Notamacropus eugenii: one gene and its partner. The protein of the gene in region 1 binds, or shares a complex with, the protein of each later gene. Links are inferred from orthologs where the notes say so. Each region holds a gene or a part of one and is shown in the gene's direction. Other genes may lie near its edges.

The links.
Region 2: CC2D2A (region 1) and B9D1 share a complex: the UniProt entries of both Homo sapiens proteins name them as parts of the tectonic-like complex. The link is inferred for Notamacropus eugenii from reciprocal best matches to the Homo sapiens genes CC2D2A and B9D1.

Annotation. Positions count from the first base shown.
Region 1 is NC_092877.1:67,984,875-67,992,264, forward strand, and holds the start of CC2D2A (coiled-coil and C2 domain-containing protein 2A), read left to right. Parts: upstream 1-4,328; 5' UTR 4,329-4,411; coding exon 4,412-4,498; intron 4,499-6,669; coding exon 6,670-6,750; intron 6,751-7,390. UniProt on the Homo sapiens protein: Component of the tectonic-like complex, a complex localized at the transition zone of primary cilia and acting as a barrier that prevents diffusion of transmembrane proteins between the cilia and plasma membranes.
Region 2 is NC_092874.1:319,707,801-319,715,375, forward strand, and holds the start of B9D1 (B9 domain-containing protein 1), read left to right. Parts: upstream 1-4,526; 5' UTR 4,527-5,084; coding exon 5,085-5,147; intron 5,148-6,985; coding exon 6,986-7,054; intron 7,055-7,575. UniProt on the Homo sapiens protein: Component of the tectonic-like complex, a complex localized at the transition zone of primary cilia and acting as a barrier that prevents diffusion of transmembrane proteins between the cilia and plasma membranes.

The DNA of each region.
Region 1 (7,390 bases):
GATGGAAATATTTGAGTATATTATGTAGCCTCAGGCCTTTTTATCTTCGCTTGAGGGGGAGGGATGTTTGATGAGATAACACACTTGTAACATCGTTTTTCTTGGCAATGATTAGGGGCCTTGTAACCATCCTCCAAAAGGTTACTCTTGTTATTTTGAAAAGACACAAAGATAATATGTTAGATGCAGTTTTACATGACTTTCTTCTGTAGGAAAGGTGTTATGAAGATGTGTGTGTATAGTATATATATAATTATGTGTGTATTATATGTCATATTATGCAGATTTATGTGTGTTACATATAATACATATGTATTTTTACATAGGTATACATCAGACAACATCGTGGGGCAAATCACTGCATATACAACTCTTTGTACATATGTATAACAAACACATATCTATTTTATCTATATATAGATGTGTACATCACATATATTTACATATAAAGTGACTGTTTACAGGGAAATCTGTAGGGACTGGACCAGCCATTTTATTGACATAGGGAACTTCTGAGTGAGGAAACTCCCTCTACCAATGTAATTGTAAAGTCTTTAAAAAGTCCTAAAGCCTTGGGTCATATGGCCAGTATGTGCCAAAATTAGGACTTCTTGGGTCTTCTTGGCTTCAAGGTCAGTTCTTTATCCACTCTACTACATGAGTGGATTATATACTACATATGAGTATATGACTTCTATGTTCTAGCAAAATTATTATATTTTATTAAATGTATTTGTGTTAGACTAATATTTTCCTCAAATATCTCTTCTTGAAATGGAGGTGGCATTGGGTTGTCAAAGGCTGGCCCAAAAGAGCACAAGGCATCATATATCTAATCCAAACTATGAAGTATTTAATTAAGCACCTACTATGTGCCAGACTGCTAGAACTAGGGATGCAACAACAAAATGAGAAGTAATATCCTTAAAGAGAATACATCCTATTGGGAGGGAAGGGACAAGAGAGTCCAGGCCTGTGATTTCACTGGTACAAGAAATTCTTCCTGAGGAATCCTCTCTACTAATGCAGATCAGCACCTACTCTACAATTTATAGTCTTAGAAAACTGACCAGGGCCCTGAGAAGTTAAGTGATTGTACAGGGTTACACAGCCAAGGTGTATCAGAGGCAAAACTTGATAGATCTTCCTAACTAAGGGATACAGCATGTAAGCAATATAATAAGGATAATTTGAAGAGGAAGAGAGAAGGCATAATCAAGAAGATCAGGAAAGATGCCCCATAAAAGTGGCACATGAACTGAGCCCATAAAGGAGCTTTGGATTCCAAGAGGCAGAGGTGAGCAGAGAGGGCATCCAAACCATGAGCTCACAGACAGAAGATGGAACTTAGTGTGCAAAGAACAGTGAAACAAGTAGGTTGATCTGGTTATGCGTTAGGGCACACAGGTGGAAGCACTATGTAAGCCACATGGAAAAATAGGCTAGAGTCCGATTGTGAAGGCTTTAAATGGCAACTGTACACCTGTGTTTATACCTTGTTTGAGAGACAAGAGGGAGCCATTGAAGGTTCTTAAGCAAGAGAATGACAAGATCAGACTTGAGTTTTAGGAAGTTTTGCATATGCCCCAGGGTTAGAATGCATGTTTCATGTCTGAGCACCAGGCTAATTAAGTTGGAAGACTCTCATCACTATGTTGGCTGAAGGATGATAAATTATGGGGCATAGTAATTCCTGAAGATCATCTCCTAAATTGTGGATGAAATAAATACTCACCCTGATGAAATTATAGATCTTTGGGGTACTGAAAATGTTTATGTTATCTAAATATTATTTTGAAGGGTCCAGTCATGTGATTTCATTAACATATGGAACTCCCATTGTGACAACTCCCAAGAAAGAAGTATGCATCTTCTCTGTAACTTATAGTCTTATATAAGAGTTATTTGGGAAACTGAGAGGTTGTGATTTGCCCAAGGACATACTTTGTGTCAGCAGCTGGATTTGAATCTGAGACTCTCTGTTCTAGACCAGTTCTTTATCCACTATGCCTCTCCTAATTATTACATATGATGTTAATAGAAAATTATATATTCCAGATATGAACTAGGTGCTAAGCTTTTTCTTTAGAGTTATTGCCAATCCTTGCTATTAAGTGATATGAAGTGGAAGAAATATTTTTTCTACTGGTTCATCAATACAGTGGGTATTTACTATCTCCTATGTGCCTATGGCACCCTTGAAACCGTTTGGGTGGAGGAAACTCATCAGGGATCAGGGAGAAAAGGATAGCTCTGGAAGGAGTGGAGAGAAAAATGAGCTGACATTTTCCCAGGGTATACCATGAAATCTGGATTTTCAATGAGATATGAATGATGATTCTATGAAAAAAGAATTTACTACCAGATTTAATTTCCTCTCTGAAATATTAAATGTGAAATTATGCAGGTATAAAAAAGAATTGTGAGACAATTTTCAGTATTAAAGTAGGTTTCATTTCCCCATCTTGCCCTAAAAAATTTTTTTATGGTTTTACTTTCCCCCTTGTTCTCTCCCCCACACCAAATTGGAGGTGGGAGTGGGGAGAAAAACAAGATCCTTGTAATAAATATACATAGTACAGCAAAACAAATTTCCACATTAGCTGTATTCAAAAATGCATCTTATTCTTCATCTTTAGTACATCATCTCTGTTAGGAAGTGAGTACCTTGCTTCATCATGAGTCTTCTGGAATCATGGTTGGTCATTGCATTTATCAGAGTTCTCAAGTATTCCTTCGAACATTGGTTCCTTCGAGATTTTCCTGATATTTTTCCAGTCTGAGGAATACTTATAGATTCTATCAACACTTATCAGGAAAATAATGTTCTGTGTCCAGATTACTTAGGGAATCCCAGCCCTATATCCATCTAGATATATGGGAAAATGGAAAGTATAGTGAATATAAAAGAAAAGGGAGGACATGGGACAAGAAGGGGGAAAGGAAAGACTAGCTTGGTAATAAGGATCTTTCAGGATTGGAATCTCAGCAGGTAGAGGAAACACATCATGACAAAAGACAGGAGTGCCCTAGGAACATATGTATAATCAAAAATTGATTATTTTAGAATAAAATTTCCTCTGAAGAAAAGGAAGAATTATGTACAGATTTCCACAGATGAGATGAATTAAAGGAATGATGGACAATCCATGGTGTGGGTGTGAATGATGCCTAAGTGGGTGTGGGTGTGAATGATGCCTAAGTGGGTGTGGGTGTGGTTGTGAGTGACACCTAAAGCATCTGGGGAAGGTTCTCTATTATACTTTATAATATTCTAGTTTCCCCCTACCACTTTTCTTTCATCTCACTCCTTTCCTCTTCCATATTTCTCTCTTTTTTTCTTTTACTAACTTTTATTGATGCCTCTTGGCATTGATATCTCCTTTCTCCCATTGAATTCTCCCCTGTTACATGGGGGTGGGAGAGGGGGGGAAGTTAGTAAAACCAACCAACACAGCAACCACATCTGGCAGGGTAAGCAACATTCTGAATCTTTAGTCATCTACCAAGAAGACAGAAGTATGTTAGATTAGTTATGTTAGTTCCTTGAAGGCAATCTTGGTCATTACAATCAGCAAAACTGCCTTCCACCTTTGTTTTCAATTACATCATTATAGTCACTACGTATACTGGTCTCCCAGTAATTAGAATATTTAGATTCCTTCAAGGATCAGTGCAGGTGTTACCTCCCACAAGAAGTCTTTTCTGATCCCCTTAGTTTTTTAGCATTCTCTCCTTCCTAAATTATTTTGGATTTACTTGTTTGTTTATCTGTTGTGTCCCTCTTTCCACACTGCAGTAGAATGTAAGGCCCTTGAGGGTAAAGAGGGGTCTTTGTCTCCCTAGCACCTTACATAGTGTCTTGCGCATAGTAGATGCTTAATAAATATTTGTTTATTGGAATTGAACGAAAGCATACTGTGTTTAGTAATCAACTAATTGTCTGTTTGGTTGAAACATAAGAACAGCGAAGTGAAAGGAGGTTATGGTGAGATTTGGGGGAGTGAGCCTAGTACCACCATCCTGGAGCAAAAAGGGGTCAACAAAAGTTTTTGAACAGAATTCCATGACCAGATATCTGTGCATAAGAAAGGATAGATTGTAAGGGAGAGAGAAAGAAAATGTTAGGAAAACATTTGGGGATGATACTGTAATGATCAGGTAGATGAATCTGTATTAGAATAATAGGAGAGAAGGAAGAGGAGTTAGACATCAAGGGAGATTGTAGAATTAATTTTCAATTTAAATGAGGTAAATTTAATAAACCCTAACCTGTAGCTTAGCTGGGGTTCTACTGGAACAGATGATGATCTAGCCCTTTGATTTTATAGTATTCTTGCTAAAGTTTCACACACATTCATTCTAAGCCATACTCAGTTCCAGCTTCCAAACAACAACACACAAACAACACATGATGCCTGATTTCTTTGTTTTCACTTTGCTGCTCAGGGATCCAGAAATGAGTCACAAAGAAGAAAAAGTGAAAATAATCTCAGAGGTAAGTAGATGTTTATATCATTGTTAGGGTTCTGTATGAGTGAAGAAATCATATTAATAATGAATATCTATTTCTGCTGAATCTACCTACTACAGAGTATACTATACTCAGGGTTATTCACTTTTGGGGGAAATGGCCTACTTTTAAGTTAGTTTAGATAATCAATAAAGCAGGAAATCAAGCCCTGATTTAGTGATCACTGATTTCTAAATTATACTCTCACTGAAAACTTTACAAACTTCACGACTGTTAGAGCTGGCGTCAGCACACCCAGGTGGTGTGGTGAGCATTTGAGAAACAAGGAAAGAATTCTCAATTCTAAAACATTTTAAGATTTCACAAGGATCCAGACTATTAAAGCACATTATTGTCATTTTCAATAAAAAACATTCCCTGTTCCCAAGGAGTTTAAAATCAGCCTGGACTTTAAAAACTTTTGTTTCTCTTCATTTCTTAAATACTGGAAGCCAGAAATTGTACTTGCTGCATGACCTTGGACAAGTCAGTTCCCTTCTCTAGACCTATTCCCTTATATGTAAAATATGGGGGTTTAAGTCTAAGACCCATTCAAATTGTCATGTTCTTGGTTCTGGAGAGGAGATTCTCCTTCACCTCCTCTTCTTCTTCCCCCTCTTCTTATTTTCCTTCATCTCCTCCTCTTTCTTCCTCTCCTTCTTGTCCCTTTCAAGACAACTGCAAAATGTTCTTTCCTGCTCTCTATGGGCCAAATGTGTTCCCTAGCAAGTTTGTTGCTTTCCCATTATGACTCCTTTTCTGTCAACAGAATCAAAGCCATTTTCCTATTTACTCCCAGAAAGTTTTCCTGCCTCACTCTGAAGTGGCTTCTAGGACCTGCCTTATAGAATTGTAGTAAGGATCAAATGAGGTGAAAGGATCTAGTGCTTTATAACTAGAAAGTGGGTTCTTCTTATTAATTCTCCAAAACTACACATTTTCCCTACCAGCTAGGTTGGTTGCCCCAGAATCTGTCCTGAATGAAAGGACCAGAGCAATTTTTGTGGAATCTGGATAAACACTTGTAGAGCCAAAGGCAGGTGGTGAGGAGATTGGCCAAACATCTACTAGAATAAAATTTCTGTGAAGCCACCAGTGATAGGAGGCACCATGGTAGAGTGGAAAGATCACTAGCACTGTAGTTAAATGGCTTGAATCAAACCTTATTCTAAGCTTAACATACGTACATACATATGTATATACACACAAAAATGTATGCCTGTGTATGTACATACATGTATCTACATATGTACATATTTGTATACACGCATGTATATTCAATAATCATTCAATAAACATTAAGTGCCTTCTAAATGTCAGGTACTGTGCTAAATGCTAGGGATACAAAAAAGAGGCAAAATTCAATTACTATCCTCAAGGATCTCACAATACAGGATCTTGGGAGAGTTCTAACATCCCTGGGACTCAGTTTCCTCACCTGTAAAAGGAAAAGGTTGGAGTAGATGAAGTCTGAGCTCTAGATCTCTGATCCTATGATCTGATATAGAGTGATAAATGAATCTATATATTTACATGTACATATAGTAGATAGCTATATGGATATCTATGGCAGATATGGAGGGAGGGAGGGAGACAGACACAGGGACAGAGAGAGACAGAGATAGAGAGAACAAGGATACAGTATGGCTTTATACAGCCCTCTGAATAATTTAAAAAATCAAGCAGAATTACAAAATGTTAGCAACCAAAGGGACCTTAAAGGTCATGTAGTCAAACTCTGCTATTTTACAGATGAGGAAACTGAGACTCAAAGGAATTAAGTGATTCTCCTAAGATTACACAGCCAGTAAGTGACAGAGGCAGAATCTGATCACAGTTCTCTGACTTCAGAGTCTTTCATATTATGTCATCTGGTGCCAAGAATGATGGTGACATTGATGATGGTGGGGTGTTGGTGATGGGGGTGACAGTTGTGTTCAGTAAAGGATCTAGTCTCCTATTTCCTAATGAAGGCTAACAGAATGAAGTAGAGGGCCTGAGCCTTTTCATCTTCACTGTGATTTTGTTTTTAATATTTAAAAATACAGCTCCAGATCTTTAATTGTTGAATTGTTTTAAATTTCAGCAAATAAACCTATCACACTTCAATTTTTTCTTTTCTTTTTTTTCTTTTCTTTTTTTTTTTTTTGACAAAGGAGTTTGTTGAAAATGAAGGTGCGGAGGCAGAAAAACTGAAGAAAAAGTTGAAAGTTCAAAAACACAGAAGAAAAAAACAGGTAGGATTGTCACCATTCTGATATTTGTCTTTTGAATTGATGTTTAACTTTAGCAATGTTGTAGCATCAGAAGGGTACCGGCACAGCACATGGAGTCTTCTCTCACTTTCCATTGCTTTTCTAACTGAACCATCTACTTTTCTGGTCGTAAGTCTCTTTCACTTCTTTCATGCAGGTGATCTTCGCTAGGAATAGCCTGTTCAGACCCGCACCATAACTTTCTATTGCCCTTTGAATGATCTGCAATTTTGATTCTATGACAACTATACTGAATGATTTATAGTTGTACAGCATTACCAGAATATGTGAATACATGAGAGATCTGTGGTTTTGTCTGCTTGAAGAATCACCCTCCACAAATCCAGATACCTAGCTATCTACCATACCCCTAACCCTATATGCTACTGGACCCCTAAGCAATCTGACTGAAGATAAGTCTCAGGGAATTGTCTGAGACATACAGAGGCCTCATGACTTTTCCCACATCACACAGTTAGTGTCAAAGGCTAGGTCTGAACTGAGGACTTGCTAACTACAAGTCCAGTACTCTATCCACTATGGCACATTGCCCCTATCCTCTGGAGAAATATTGGTGTTTGAAAGATTGGTTTTCTTTGTAATCTTATACATTTTATCACAT
Region 2 (7,575 bases), on another chromosome or scaffold:
GAACTTGCATTGGTCTGAACAAATTGTGGTCTTCCTGTATCCTTACTTGGGAGCCACCCATTCGTTCAAGAGAGATGAATGTAGAAGATGAATAAAAGCTTTCCTGATTTCACAACAAATACTGTTTGTTCGAGGTGAGCATGTTTCTCATAGTTGGGGGCTTGTGGTTGGGCTCATTTCTCACACACACTTGGAGAATTTGTTGTTTTTATTCACGTTTTTTATTCATCAAGGAAACGAAAACTCAACAACTTTACAATTGTTGTTCAGTTGTTTTTTCAGTTATGTCCAACTCTTCATGACTCCATTTGGGGGTTTTCTTGGCAATGCTGGAGTGCTTTGTCATTTCCTTCTCTAGCTCATTTTACAGATGAGGAAGTTGAGGCGAACAGGGTTAAGTGACTTGCCCAGGGTCACAGAACTATTGAGATGAGTCTTCCTGACTTCAAGGCCAGCACTCTGTTCACTGCAGCACCTAACTGCCCCTAACTTTAAAATATAAACTTTAAAAAAGAAACAAAACACAACTTTTTTTGGAGATATCAGTGCTCCTCCAACAAACACTATGTGCACACCTGTGAAGATGACTCTGAGATTGTAAACCTGAGTGATTGGATGCTTCCCCCTCCCCCCAATAAGAAATAGAAAAGTTAGTAAAAGGAGAGGGTTTGGGTAAAAAGATAATGAATTTCATCTTGGATATGTGGAGTTTGAAATTTCTATGTGACATCCAGTTAGAAATATCCAGTAGGTGATGAAGAACTAGAGTTCAGAAGAGAGACTAGAGTGGGTTATATGGATCTGGTGGGTAAACTAGAACTTTTCTAAATCCATGATCCTACGAGCTGTAATTTCTCTTTCAACCCTAAATCTATGATCTTGGTGATTTTATCTACTCCCTTGGGATTAATTATCACCTTGGTAAGGATGACTCTGAAATCTGTATCTAGATTTATGTCTCTAAATCTTCATCTCAATATTATTTTGAGGAGCTAGGTGATCCAGTGGATAGAGCACTCTGCTAGGATGTTAAAGTTTAAACCCAGGGACGCCAAAAACTGTTGAGGTTTTATGATGTCTTGTGGTGGAACCGTCTCAAAGAATTCAGAGTCAGACCACCTCTAATCCAAGTATAAGCATGTATTGAGATTGATGCCTCTCATGAAGTGGGCTAAGTTCTAAGAGGAACCAGCAATTTCAGAGAAAACAAGATGGATTTTTATAGGGTAAAGATGCAATCACATAACAGAAATTTACATAGACTATAGGAATATGATTAATATTAAAAAGGTGGGAGGAGTTTGTTAAGGAATTAGGTAATGGGGGAGGGGTCCTATCTATGGTTTGGTGGTTAAACATTCTGACCATGCTGCCCTCCAATCGGTTAGCTGTTGTGGTCCTGTCTGGTCAAGACAGATAGTTAGGTATTGTGGTCAGGTCTTGGGCTAGATGGATGATGTAATTGTGATTAACTACAAGAACATACGTAGTGAAGTCAGTGGCAGAGTCAAGAATGGGTCTGGGAATCATGGCTAGGTAGAGGTAGTGGGTGGGTTCCCACACCTGCTGTTTCTGTGAGAGTTTTATGAGTTTTAGGGACTGTTGTTCTAGTGAGCAGTGAGGCATATATGAAGAACGTAGGACATTGGTAGGGAGGCTAGCTAGGTACAGTGGGCCTGTGATGAAGTTAGACTATTGGAGCTGGGAGCAGTTCTATTAGGACTCCATCAAGGAGATAGGAAGACTCATCTTTCTGAGTTCAAATTTGGCCTTGATGAGGATACAAACAGTGCCCTAAGGGTTAAAATATTAAGGGTTGCTTTTCCAGTACCCTAAAGTCCTTACTCCCCTTTATCATGAACCTGTACCAAAAGAATTGCTTTTGTCTCCCTTATATTGTGTTCCCTGGGTCCTTTAATTTTTTATCTGTATCCTACTGCCCTGTACTTAAACCATAAAACTTCCCTCTTATCCTGGACCATAAAATTCCTTGTTTCCCCCCATCCTGGGTCATAAAATTCCCCATCTCCCTTACCTTGCATCTCCTATCCTGTCATCCATCTTCCTCATCCTGTCCCTAATCTTCTAAATCTCTAAAACTACATAATCATTCTGAAACCTCTATATAAGCATAACTCCCCCAAATATGGGAGTCTCACTTAGCTTTCTTGCTAAGAGACCCATGCTGCTTTTTTTTGCATAAAATAAAGCTCCCAGTGGCTACAAGAAGGTCTAAGTGGATTCTTTCACATCTGAACTTGCTTTACCAATGCTAAACTTCCTCAACCTGAGACAATTATTAGCTGTGTGACCCTGGAAAGTCACTTAACCCCATTTGTTTCAGTTTCCTCATCTGTAAAATGTACTGGAGAAAGAAATGGCAAACCATCCCAGTATCTTTGCCAAGAAAACCACAAATAGGGTCACAAAGAGTTGGATACAACTGAAAAACGACTCAGAAACACAACACCACCTTGATGCTGCACCAATACCTCAAACATATCCAGAACTCAGACCTGTAAGAGACTTTAGAGATCATCTGGTTTTATCCTCTCATGTTACAGGGAAAGGAATTGTGGCTCAGAGAGGGAAGCGACTTGCCACATAGTGAAGTCAGTGGTAGAGTCAGGACTAGAAGCCGTTTCTTCAGATTGTCCATCCAGGGTTCCTTCTGATAATCTGTTATTGCTGAATGAATACTGGACTTTGTTAAGATGATCTATAATCCGTTGTTCTGTAAAACAGACACCGATCCTGCACCTCAGAGGAGCTGGGTTCCCTATTCTGCCTCTGATGCCTAACACCTGGGTGATTTTAGGCAAGTCACCTTTCTGGGCTTCAGTTTCCTCATCAATAAAATGAGAGTATTGGATTAAATGGCCTCTCAGGTCTCTTATGGTTCTAGATTCATGATTCCACAACTTTCCTTTTCCCTCTGGAACCAGGCAGTCTTCTTCCTTGAGGTTCCCCTCCCCCCCCAATTTTAAGGGACACAAAGAATTTCTTTGACTTTTGTTTGACATAAATTAAGCATTAGGGTAACACCGTTTAGTTCAGGACTTCAATGTTTAGTACCTTATCCTGCCAGGTGATCCTCAGAATCTTCCTAAGACAGTTCAAATGGAAGCGATTCAGTTTCCTGGCATGGTGTAGGTAGACTGTTCATGTTTCACAGGCATACAACAATGAGGTTAGCACAACAGCTCTGTAGACCTTCAGTTTGGTAGTCAGTCTAATACCTCTTTTCTCCCAAACTTTTTTTCAGTCTCCCAAACACTGAGCTAGCTCTGGCAATGTGTGTGTCAACCTCATTGTCATTGTGTACGGTAAGTGAACTTATCCACAGCATTCAAAACTTCTCCATTTGTTGTATCTGACGGTTCCATGGTATGGTGGTGGCTAATAGAGCACCTGTATTTTTTTGGTGTTCATTATTAGGCCAAAATGAGCACAGATAGCAGAGAATTGACCCATACTTTGTTGCATCTCAGCTTCAGAGGCTGCATTGAGTGCACAATGATCTGCAAACAGAAAATGATGCCCCAACACTCCCTCCACTTTCGTCTTGACTTGTAGCCTTTTCAAACCAAAGAACTTACCATCAGTACAGTAGTTGACCTTGATGCCGTGTTCATCCTCATTGAAAGCTTTTGACAACATGGTTGAAAACATCATGCTAAAAAGCATGGGAGCAAGCACACAGCCCTGTTTCACTCCATTGGTGACTGGGAAAGCACGAGATCATTCTCCATTATCCAGAACCTGGGCAAACACGCCACCATGAAACTGACATGATACTGATGAACTTCTCCGGGCAGCCAAATTTTGACATAATTTTCCATAAACCCTCATAACTAACAGTGTCAAAGGCCTTGGTCAGATCCACAAACGTTGTGTACAAACCTCTGTTCTGCTCTTGGCATTTCTGCTGGAGTTGTCGGGCAGTAAACACCATACCGACTGTTCTTCAGCCCTTTCTGAAGTCACGTTGGCTCTCAGGTAGACAAGCATCTTCCAGGTGAAGGATCAGACTATTAAGGAGGACTCTAGCAAGAACCTTGCCAGCAATGACTAAGAGACAGACCCTCCTGTGATCGTCCCAGGACAATCTATTCCCTTTACCTTTATAGAGATGAACAAGGGAGGCATCCTTGAACTTTGCTTCAGAGAGCACCGTTCTGATGGGTGGGCCATGGTGTCAGAACACAAACTGTACGCTTGCCACAAAGACTATTTCATGGAAAACGAGTGATGGGGCAGCAGATCACACAACGGCAGAAGCAGCAATGCAAGGACCCTCCCAAGGTCTCTCTCAAGAACTCTGGATTGGATTGTGGGACATGGGAGACCCTGGCACAGGACCGCTCAGCATGGCGTGCCCACCTCAGAAAGGGTGCTGTGCTCTGGGCAAAGCAGACCGGAGACAGTCAATGCAGGATGTGCAAATTCTGGACACCGAGCCCAGGTGTTCACATGGGCGCCCTGGTATGGGACCCGCGGACACGTGACTCTATCATGGTGACGTCACTTTGGTCCCGTTCCAGGACAGGCCCACAGCCAGGGTGACAGTCCCTTTAAAACTCGTTTAGCTATTACCTGATCCCCGTGCCAACCCCCGGACAGGGCGCTAGTATTCTTCCTGTTTTACAGCTGAGGAGACGAAGCAAAGAGGGATTGTTTTTACTGAGTTACTCGGAGTCACGCGGGTGAGCGGTTTGAATTCGGGTTTTTCCGAGTGGAGAGCCAGCGTGCTCTCCGCCGCACCCCCTAGCGGTCTATATAAATGGGGCACACGTGTAGACCACTAGAAGGGGTCAAGAGGCTTCCCTGCTGCCCAAGAGGCCCAGGACACCTGGCTCGAGGGCCCCGCCCCGTCCTCTCCTCCCTTCTCCCGCAGGCCCCTCCAAAGGAACAACTGCGCATGCTCCAGCCAGGCGCTCCGTAAATTAGGCCGCCGCGGGAGCCTGCGAGGCGCGAAGGCCCCGTTCCGAGGAAGATTGTCCCATGCGGCGCGCCGTCGGGATCTAGGGGGCGCTCGAGAGACTCCTAGCAACGCAGGCCGCGCGCCCGACCCCCGGAGAGCCATGTCTACCAGTACCCCCACCGTCTTCCTGATAATGGTGAACGGGCAGGTGGAGAGCGGCCAGGTGAGGCGGCCTCGGGGACGGGGCCTCGGGGACGGCTGGCCGGCTGGCCCGGAGGGAGGGGAGCAGAGCCGGAATGCGAGGCCTCGTGGCCACGCCCCCAGGCCCACGGGAGGCGCCGCGGCCCCGGACCCACCCGAATTTGTACTTGCACACGTGCACGCACACGCCCCCTGCCAGAGGGCACTCGGGCACACCGCAGACGCCGCCCCCCTTTTCTCCCAAGTGGGACGAGAATCCCCTCCTTTCTCTGCGGGGGCCGCATCCCCGCCCACCCCCAGCTGGACCGGGACCTGCCCTCCCGCGTCCAGGACCCAGCGCCTTCCGTGACCTGTAAGCGGGAGCCTTGGGGTCTTAGGCCTAGCGCCGGAGCGGCCGTGGGGGTCCGTGCGGACGACCCCCTGGGGGTGAAGTCGGGGCCTTTGCTGCCCCCTGGAGGAGGCGGCAGAGAGCGCAGCCTCCCGCCCGGCCGCGGCCCCTCCGTAGTGGGGCAGATCAGCTTCCTTACCTGTAAATGGGGCTTGGAAGTCCTGGCCCCCAACGGAACGAAAGAAAGTCTGTCTGTCCCCTTCCCCGTGCGGTGCTCCCGATCTGGAACGGGACACCTAGAACCTCGGCTCCAGCCTCCGCGCTACTGCCCGTTGCTCCCTTGTCTAAAATGAGGTTGGACCAGAGATCTTAACCCTCTTGTAGCCCTAAATCCTTCCCCTTCTGTCAGACCCTTATGTGGGGGACCCTGCCCCCTGGGGTTAGCTCTCCTCTGCTCCCACTCTCCAGTGGGATCCTTCTCTCCATGTCCATCCCTGACCTTTTTAATCTCAACCATGTGACATGACCAGGCTCTCCACATCCATCAGGTAAGATCGTTCTTGTCCACTTCACTCCTCTAGTGTCACCAGATCTGGCCACCTGCCCCTTTTAAGCCTGTAGCACCCAGACTTTAAAAATTGCACTTGCCTGTTATTGGAAAAATTTTAAGTCAGGATGCTCCTCCTTCACATGTACATTATTTACCTGTTTATAAAATACAGATGTGTTACTGTGACAGTAGTTATGTACATTTTAAATCCTACACAAAGGTAGGAATTTGAAAACCAGATTAAAAAATAAATACTATTTGATCCTGGAGTCAGTAAGGAGCTGCGAAAGGTTACTGAGAGTTACTCTAGAAAAATCATTTGGGCGTCTTTGTGGAAAAGGGAATAGAGACTTGAGCAAAGAGACCGTTTAAGAGGCTGTTCCATAGAGATGATCAAGTTGGAATAGGTGAGATAGAGAAGTAGAAACTGCAAGATTTAGCAGCTGATGACTGTGGTGTAAGGGAAGATGGGGATGGAAGGATAGTGCCAGGATTGCAGACCTTGGTTATTGTAAAGATGGTGTTGTCCCCAGCAGAAGTAGGGACTCAGAAGAGGAGTGAGCCTTGGGCATGTTTGAGGTCATCAGGGTCAGGAGGGAGACTAGGACTAGACACTAGTTGGGTACTCATCTGCCCTGAGGGCCTCCTATGCCCGGGTCGGGTTATAACCTCCGAGTGGCCCACAGCCCAGGAGGCTGATGCCCAGCAGGGCAGTGTTGAAAGAGGCTGGGCGATTGTATTGGAGAAAAGTCCAAGACTGGCTGTGGTGGGGTCTCTGATTGGTTGATAACACCCCTTTTAGAAACAGCCCTCATTTCGGAAACACTGGTCTAGAGTAAAGATATGTTTGACTCTGAGCTAGGTGACCTAAAATCTCTCAATTTCATATTAATTCAATAATCAGCCTTTTTGGCAGCCCACAGAACATGGAAGGGAAATGTTGGATTGAAATAAAGCACCTGTATTATGTTTCTTTTTAAAGTTTCCTGAATTCAACGACCTCTACTGCAAGTACTGTTTCGTTTATGGCCAAGACTGGGTACCGACATCTGTAAGTTGAACTGTGAAGCTTTCTTCAGTTCTGCTGTTTTTTTTCTCACTCGCCCCTTCTTATGTTCCTCCCCACCTCCCTCCCCTGACCTGTAAACAGATAAACCGGCTAGATTTTATACCCTAACGTGACACAGTTAAAAATGGACCTTTTATTAACAGCTACTGTTTATTAGAGGAGCCACCAGGTGGCGCAGTGAATACAGTGCCAGGCCTGAAACCAAGAAGACCCATCTTTCTGAGTTCAAATTTGGCTTCAGACTTAGTAACTCCGTGACCTTGGACAAGTCACTTAGCCCTGTTTGTCTCAGTATCTTATCTATAAAATGAGCTGGAGAGGGAAATCTTTCCCAAGGTATCTGCCGAGAAAACCCCAAATGGGGTCATGAGGAGTCCAAGATGACTGACATCACTGAACAACAATAACGGATATGTATTAGGCACCCGTCTGCTCAGGGTTCTGTTCATGAAATGACCAGAAACGGTGAACCCATCGCCCACAAATCTGATCCACCCAGCTTA